2 linked regions of the Saccharomyces cerevisiae S288C genome follow. The protein of the gene in region 2 interacts with the protein of the main gene of each other region in a biochemical or structural test. Each region holds a gene or a part of one and is shown on either strand. Other genes may lie near its edges. The genes, in order: CUS2 and HSH155.

Region 1 (3,197 bases), on a different chromosome or scaffold from region 2:
AGGTTAGAGGAAGCTGAAGTGCAAGGATTGATAATGTAATAGGATAATGAAACATATAAAACGGAATGAGGAATAATCGTAATATTAGTATGTAGAAATATAGATTCCATTTTGAGGATTCCTATATCCTCGAGGAGAACTTCTAGTATATTCTGTATACCTAATATTATAGCCTTTATCAACAATGGAATCCCAACAATTATCTCAACATTCACCCATTTCTCAAACACAGCTTCAGTATTGTCTGAGCTTCTCGTTTAACATTCCTTCTGCAATAGGTGCAATCACACTTAAACGTATACGAGGTGTACATTAATATACGATGTAAGCATTAGATTGTTACCATAGCAACACATGTCACTATTAATTACTCTCGTTCCAACATTATCGGAAGAGGTTTGGTTTATTCCAACAATTAGAATCGCAGTAGTGATTACCCTTTTAAGTAATCGCTGTGTTTCGGTGGTGATATAGTCGCCATCACTTATTACCTCGTCATTACAGTTACACCATCCAACACATGGGCGGTTAGTGTAGTGGTTATCATCCCACCCTTCCAAGGTGGGGACACGGGTTCGATTCTCGTACCGCTCAAATTTTTTGATGGCATTGCTTGCATTTTCAAGTATTATATCGACATTTATTTTGTACTGGGAAGTCATAAAGCCCTAATCCATTCTGTTTATTACATTGTGTTCACTTATTTTACTTAAGTACCAAAGATATGGGGGTAATACATTTTTTTACTGCAGTTCTATATAAGGTCATCTTCCACTTCGCTGTCCTCATTCTTGTCACTTGTGCTTGAAGTGTTCTCATCTCCAGAAATGAAAGCAAGCAACTTTTGCCCATCAAAATAACGTCCGGTCATGATTTTGCAACATTGCAATGCAACTTTATTGTTCTTAAAGACGACCGTCGCTTCCCCCTTATTGGGAGATACAGATATACTGTCTACTTGACCTATCTCTTCACAGCCTTCCAAAAGATCTTCCTGAATATCATTTATATCATCATTTGTGTATGATTTGTAAATATTGAATACGTTGGCAAATATCACCGTTCGATCAGCTTTTGCTAGGCTTTCATCGTCATTGTAATCTATTACTTCCCCCTCCCCTTCAGACTTCGCTTTTTTTAGCCTCTTTATTGGAGGCTCAGGTCCGTTGAACTCCTTTAAATCATTTTCTTTCCCGTGCATATTGTCACCTTCCTTGTTTTGAAATTGGGCTCTTTCGACCCTGATCTGTTTTCCCAGGAAGATCGACTCGTTCATCATTTCGATTGCTAATGTAACACTTTCTTCCTTGGAATAAGTGATCAAGGCATCCCCTTTGAAAGCGCCTTTATCATTCACATATAGCTTGCAAAGGGGTTCCCCATCTCGATTGGTTCTTATCATTCCATACTTGCAAAACTGCTCAGTGAGTCCTTCTTTCGTTGTTTTGTCTGTGGGAAGACCAGAAATATATATTGAAGTATTTTTTGAGGCATTATTATATTCAAGCTCTCTTTTCTGAAGATTACTCTCTTTTAACTGTTTCCTTCTAAGCAATTCTTCTTTTTTCAATTTTTTCAAATGACCTTTCAATTCCAATTCATCAGCATCCATCGCTGTCAAACAGTAATGTTGGTAACGGAATACAGTGAAAAGTGTAGTGCGTTCAAGGGTCTGCAGCCTTTTACAATATGCCTGGTCAGACTAGTGCTTTTTTTTTGTTTTTTTTCTTCTTCTTCTTTCATCAATTGCATAATGTCAACTTTTTTCTGCCCTGTTGTCCTGTTTCTTCCATTTCGTTTTCTCTTGTCAAACTATTATAGTATTTTTCTTTAAAAATTTTGTTTATACAAAGATTACATAATTTATTCTTCGTGTGGTGATGATCCGTCATATTCTATCCGTGATTTTTTTGGTTTATTATTGTTCTTGCTGTTCATTCCCTTATTTGCATGCACGCTTGCTAAAGCTGACGCATTTCTTTTAATACTATTGATAACAAAAGAAGGGATTAACTGAAATAAAATTTCACAGCTTACTGCATTAGACCATTCACCAGATCAGAGCATAATAAGCTGTCTTCACCTTTACCATGAACTTTCAAAGCAAGACCTTTCGAACTCTTGATCATCTTAATCTGTAGGGCTACTTTAGATCCAGTTAAAGCACTCTTACCAAATAATTTCAAGGTGTGGGAGTTTGAATCACTTGGAGCAAATTGGGTACTTTCCACCGGTAAGCAGCTACTGTTCAAAATAATCTTATCTACTACTTCTTGTATGGATAAATCTTCTTGAATGTTGAAAACAGCAACTTCTTCGCATGGCAACTCATCAAATGTAGCGGAGAAGTTACCAGTGAAAGAACTCTTAACATAATCACCAGCATTCAAGAAAATCGAGTCAATTTCATATTCATCTTGGAAACCTTCATCACCATCAAATGGCTCATTAGTGTCAGGGTTTATTTCTTTTGTAGTGAATGTTAAGTTGTTCAAGAAACCTTCCATTACAATTTCATCAAGTTTTTTGAATGCAACGTAACAAGCTGCTTCCTCGGATGGTAATAATCTGTCCACTTGTAGGGTGAATAGCTCTTCTAATTCAGCTTCATCAGAAATTTCAGGGGTACAGACTACAGAAACATTGTCTAGGGCAATATCCGTCAGAGTATTCGTAATATTAAATTGTAAAACAACATTGTCTTTGAAGAGATGTTTGACACCACGTACAACGAATTCTGCTTCTGGCTCAGTTAATGAGATAGCCCTAGAACTATTTACTAATTGACCAAATGGTTTAATTTGTTCAATGGATAGCAATTCGTCAGCGTACTTAGTAGCTAGTAGATCTTCTTGGTGGTCGTCCAAGTTTGGACCAGCAAATGAATTAGCGTCAGCTCTTTTTTCTGGAACACTCTCTGCCTCTGGTGTAGTATCCAAAGTGGTTTCAGACTTTTGATTGAAAATTTGTTCTTGCTTTCTCTTCAGATTTATTGCCTTCATTTCATCCTCAGTAAACTTACGAACTTGATTCACATCAAATGCAGTTGCAAATGAATCAGTATTTGAGGAAATGTAAGAACTTAATTTTGACTCTAATGATGGAATATCGTAAAAATATTTGGATTCGATTAGATTTTGTGCTATAACATCATCTTTATTCCTAGCCGAATCAATGAATTCTAGTGCAATGGTGGC
Region 2 (5,658 bases):
CTCTGAATTTCCTTCTTTACAATTAATCAAGTTTTCAACCAATAACTTCAATAAATCATTCAGAGACGTGCTGAAGTCAATTTTAAAGTATGATAATGCTATTCTTATTCTTTGGTATTGTTCATCTAATAAAAAAAATCGTTCATAAATGACTTGTAGCATATCTTCTACACGCTGGCACACAATGGTCTTGCAATCATGCTTCCAAGCATCAGGATGCTGAATATTTTCGAGAAGGTCACCGCCGGAATTAACCTCCCTTACTCGTAAATAACTTGAGTAATCCTCATTAATTATCTGCTGCCTAATATCTTCGTCTCTCAAACCTAATCGAGGGTCTGGAGTTTCAAAGATCTCTTTCTTTGACGCTGACTGGCGTGCAAAACCAGGGTCGTACCTGAAAGTGGCCAGAACCTCGAAGTTCGGATTAGCAACTAGGCCTCCTTCATCGTAACTTTCCATATCAGTCTTCCAATTGTCCATTAGTGACATCTATTTCTTATTATCCATGTCTCGCTCTTCATCTTTCTTTTACTCACTTTCACAAAATTTTTTCCTGCCCTTTTTTTTCCAATAGCAGGTTCTGTTTATATTTCATCATAATCTATGAAGGCATCGTGACGTGATGATATAGGTGTGTCAAGTAAAATATTCTTACAAGTTGTGGTTATTTATATGCTCTATATATATTCACAGAACTAAATCCAGTTCTTCTATATATTCTTCATTGTTGTCTGGTGTAACGGGGTAAAAAGGTACCATGGCGTCCTGGTACATTACGTACATGTTATTATACACCCTCCAAAATGCTTTCCTTACATTCTTCGCTGGATGGAACAATCCTGCCCATATGTAGTTCATGAATAGTCCAGGGCCAAGAGCTTGACTCAGTGCCTCCAAACCTTCTAAAATACGCATAATAGCATGTGGTGAAGTTTCAAAAATATTGGGTATTAGAAGATTCATTAAATGAATGAAGGCATCTTCGTGACCTGTACCTGAACAGTTTAAAGCTAAGTGGGTTATTACGTTCGACGCTGTCTGACGATGAACTAAATCCCTATCGGTGAGTGCATCTTCTAATAATGGTGTTATGAAGTATATGTAATCCTTAGACATGTTACCAATGTACTCAAACATGAATGACATGGCCTTGAGAACACCGTTTTGAACATTAGTCTCTGGTGTTGTGTATTCATTCATGATTACTGGCAGCACGTTGTAAGGACCACACACTTTAGCAACGATACCGATAGCAACAGCCGTGCATACACGTAACTGACGTTCTTGAACCTTTAAATTGTTCAATAACGCAACAAGAACATCGTGAGGTCCAATTGCTTCAGCAATGAATCCAAACGTGGCATTTGCTGATCTTCTTATTTCTTTATTTGTACTTTTCAAAAGTTCTAATAGTTCAAAACATATTCTCATCCATTCTTTAGGAGGTGCATAGGTAGGTGCTAATTTACCAATAAGTCCAACAAATTTGATAGTGTTTACTTCGACTTTTCTATGCTTGTTTCTTAAAATTGGAGTTAAGGTTGGTAAAATTTGATTAATAGGAGGTTGTAGTTTATCCAAATCCATTACGCTAGTAATACAGTACATAGCGTTGATTATAGAACCTAATACCTCTGGATATACTTCGCCTAAGGATTCATACAATATAATGTTCAATTTATTCAACATTTCGAATTCGTGACAGTTCTTGATGACTGGTATTAGTATGGCACATAGATCTGCTGCATGTTGACGAACCAAGGGAGTTTTATGCTTTAAATGATTTAAAATCGTACTCACAATGGGTGCTAAAAACGGTTTCATACGGATGTCAAGTGACACCGTCACTGCCCCAAACCCTTTAAAGATTATAGAATCACTATTTGTTTGTTCTTGAAATGCTATCAAGAGCGCATCAATAAGCCTCGTTTCTAATCTCTCATCTAAATCTGCTGTCCCTAATAAGTTTACTGTTCTAGTAACAGCATGGACAGCCATTGTTCTGAACGGCTCAGCTTCATCTCTCAATGGTGTTAATAATTTATCAATGGTATAAGAACAACCTAATTTCTTTGCTAATGTAACAGTAGTATATGTAACAACTTTGTTTAATGGTCTATCCAATGCCACTCGTCTGACCCAAAATTTTTGAAAGAATTCTGGCGCGATTTCTTCTCTCAGAAATTTTGGCGTTATGGATTCTACAGCGCTACATTTTTGTAATACTAAAAGAATGGTCTTTTTCATTTCATCATCGGGAGAGTCGAATTCACGTCTAATTATTCTCATTGCTTCTGTGGTATAATAACCGGCATACTCTGGGTCCATCAATGGGATCATAGATCCAACAGCTTTTAAAAAAGAAGATAGCACTTTACCACGATGACTTCTTATACCCTTCCATAATGGCTCCAGTACAACGTTGAAAACTTCGATACCATATGGATAAGAATTTTCTGCTAGTGTTGATAAAGTATGTGCTGTAACAATTCGCACCGGAACGTGATCATCCATTAGGCAGTCTTTGATACAACTCATCAGCCCAGTAAGATGATTCAAGACACCTATTCCCAAAAGTATACCTATTTGCTGCACAATTTTTATGCCAGTATGCCTTGCTTTCCAAGACTTCCGTGAGTGGCATGCTGCATTGATGAAAGGAAGCAATTGATTAACACCAAGGGCTTTTGCCACCACAGCCGCCGCTCTTGAAGTTACATTTCTAACATACTCATCCTCATTCTCAATATCAGGTCTCATTACTGTTAGAATGGTTTTTAGGCCAGCGACTGTAGACAGATTGGTGATTATCTCCTGGCCTGTTGAACGAACCATTGGATCTTCATCTATTAGCAATGGGGCAGCTACTACAAGTATTTTGTGAACGTAAGGTTTTGTTAAATCTCCTAGCTGGTAAAGGACGCGATCTATGGTCTTGATCATTAGATGTCTTTCCTGGTCTTCCAAACTTCTGTCTAGTAATATGGGCAATAAGCGGTTAAATATCATTTCTGGACCAAATGTAACAGCTTTATCGGTTAAAATCCGCATAGAAGTCCTCCTACTCGCTGTATTGCCATTTTTTATTTTCAGAAGTAACATCGACAGGGTTCTTTCTTTCTTTTCATCCTTATTTAACTCATCTATGGGTTTTTTGGATATAACGTCGGCGAAATATTTATGGTCAGAAGGTTTAAAAAACATCAAATCATGGATTCCTTCTACATTAACCAAAGCACTATCAGAGTTTTCTTTGACCGCTGTTGAAGATTCATCAGGTGGCTCGTACCCTTTTACATCCCAACGAGATTTTCTTTTCCTTGGCACGACAGCGTCTTGGGTATTTTCTGAAGACGTAACAGTTTGTGTATCGGAATCCGGCTCAAACTTCATATCAAACCTTCTTTTGTGGTATGAATCCTCTCGATTTTGCACTGTCCTAGTTTCCATTTTTTCCTGTAGCACATCTTTTTCGTTCTCACCAATACGTGCAGCTTCTTTCTGCAGGTTTTCCCTCAAATCCTGAGGAATAGAATATTGACCGCCTAATTGGTGGCTCTTATCGCTATTATTAGCGTTTACAAATTGAATCGGATGACTCATGATGACAGGTCCTGGCTTTCTATGTTTATTATGTATAAGTAATTGAAGAGATGTTTCAGTTCTAACTCATCGAGAAGGAGATTTCTGCTCGGGCAAATATCAATGCAAACCCGAATAAGCTTAAATACTAACAACGTGCCAAATAACAGCAATCACGTCTAAAAAGCTTTCAAGAGACGATAATTGGTTGTGCATATCTGTCAGCGGAATAAATAAAGACAGGTGATGGTAGTTAGGCGGAAAGTACATGTTCTTCTAATTGCAAGGAGCTTTCATTCCTACACACCTTGCTTCAGAGTAACTACCAGAGGCAAACGACAGCGAAGTAAGAGTAAGCAGCAAGCAAAAGTAGAACTAGATCACACACGAGAGCTAGATAATGATCAAGCTACAGAGACAGTTGTAGACCGTTCGGTTGGACCGGAGAAAGATATAGAATCAATAAACAAAGACTTTCTGCAACGAACAAAAGGATTAGAGCCTGATATTGAATTAAAACAACTGCCTCAAATTAAACAGGAATTTAACCAACGTTATAAAGATAGGTATGTTAAACCTTCCGAAGATTGGTACGTAAACTCCTGGAGGTCTTTAACAAAACCAAAAATTCCGCTTTACAAGTTAATAAATTCAGATTTTCAATTAATAACAAAACTGAAAGCTCCAAACCCAATGGAATTTCAACCTGTTCAGCTAATGGAAAGTCCCTTAAATGTTGGTGACTTTGTTCTTTTAAAAATGAGACCCAATGAATTGGCGATGTGTGTAAGTCTTCCAAGTAGCACTATGGATCCTCGATACACTTTTGTTACTATTGATGGAACTATGTGCTTTGCGACCAAAAACCGGGTGTTATTGAGGATTCCTCACAAATTACCTGCTGGAATCCATTCACTTATACAGCCTGAGAGCCATCACAAACATTTGCCAATTGGAACCGTTAAGAACTTTTCTAACCAAACGAATATTTTGCCTATTGTAGCAAGGCAGCTAATAACAAGTAGGTATCCAGCCCAAATTTCAAAGTTGGCCTGGAAAGATTTGCCCATTACTACCAAAAAATTACAGTTACTCCACAGATCATTACAAAATTATATGGGTCCATGGCAGATTCCTTTTTTTACCCTAGTCGGATTAGTTCAGAAATTGGATTTAAATAAAGCCTTGGACGATAAAAATGGAATAAATTACTTAACTAGTTTAGTTAATAACTATCACACTGTAAACGATATACCAATAAATTCACCTACCTTTGTTTCCACGTACTGGGCGATTATGCAACAACAGGAATCGAACCTTTGGGGGGAAATCCATCTGAATACAGCGTTGCTGTCGCCTATATCAGTAACGATTATTCCCTTAAAATCACAACATTTATATTATGCGCAGGTGATAGAGAAGCTAGAAGCCAACAGTTATAGAGAGGTCAATAAGTTTGTAAAATTGGTGAATGAAAGGAAATATCGCGATATATCAGCTTTATATCCTTCTGTGATCCAATTATTGAAAGATTTTGCTGCTGGGAATTTTCACAATAACGGAATTATAGTAGCTTTGATCTCAAAAATATTCAGAAAGATAGAACGCTATAAGGATTGTGACATCACAAGAGATATATGTCAAGATTTAATCAATGAGATAACACCCAACTCAATACCCAATCCATTGTTACTTAACATGGATTTAGCATTACCTGCTTCCTCGAAGTTAGTGAAATGGCAACAAAAACTCTACGACTTAACTAATATAGAAGAATTGCAATGGAAAAAATCCGGCACTGATGACGATAGGTACGATTTTGGCGATCTTAGGGTTTTTTGTATAGACTCTGAAACTGCGCATGAGATTGATGACGGCGTGTCGGTGAAAAACTATGGTAGAGATGGACTGTACACTTTATATATTCATATTGCGGATCCAACTTCTATGTTTCCGGAAAGCACTAATGTTGATATTGAGGGTATAAGTACAGATATCCTAAATGTTGCCTTGAAAAGATCATTTACCACATATTTACCAGATACGGTTGTTCCTATGTTACCTCAATCTATT

What was found.
Region 1: the proteins of HSH155 (region 2) and CUS2 form a complex in vitro, tested with the Saccharomyces cerevisiae proteins (one study listed by BioGRID).

Annotation. Positions count from the first base shown.
Region 1 is NC_001146.8:93,638-96,834, reverse strand, and holds CUS2 (U2 snRNP complex subunit CUS2), read right to left. Parts: upstream 1,613-3,197; coding exon 755-1,612; downstream 1-754. Other genes in the region: SEC21 (coatomer subunit gamma), read right to left, coding at 2,034-3,197. UniProt on the Saccharomyces cerevisiae protein: U2 snRNP protein which helps to refold U2 into a structure favorable for its binding to SF3b and SF3a prior to spliceosome assembly. Mediates functional interactions between U2 RNA and PRP5.
Region 2 is NC_001145.3:843,519-849,176, reverse strand, and holds HSH155 (U2 snRNP complex subunit HSH155), read right to left. Parts: upstream 3,607-5,658; coding exon 691-3,606; downstream 1-690. Other genes in the region: aminodeoxychorismate lyase ABZ2, read right to left, coding at 1-492; DSS1 (exoribonuclease II), read left to right, coding at 3,832-5,658. UniProt on the Saccharomyces cerevisiae protein: Contacts pre-mRNA on both sides of the branch site early in spliceosome assembly.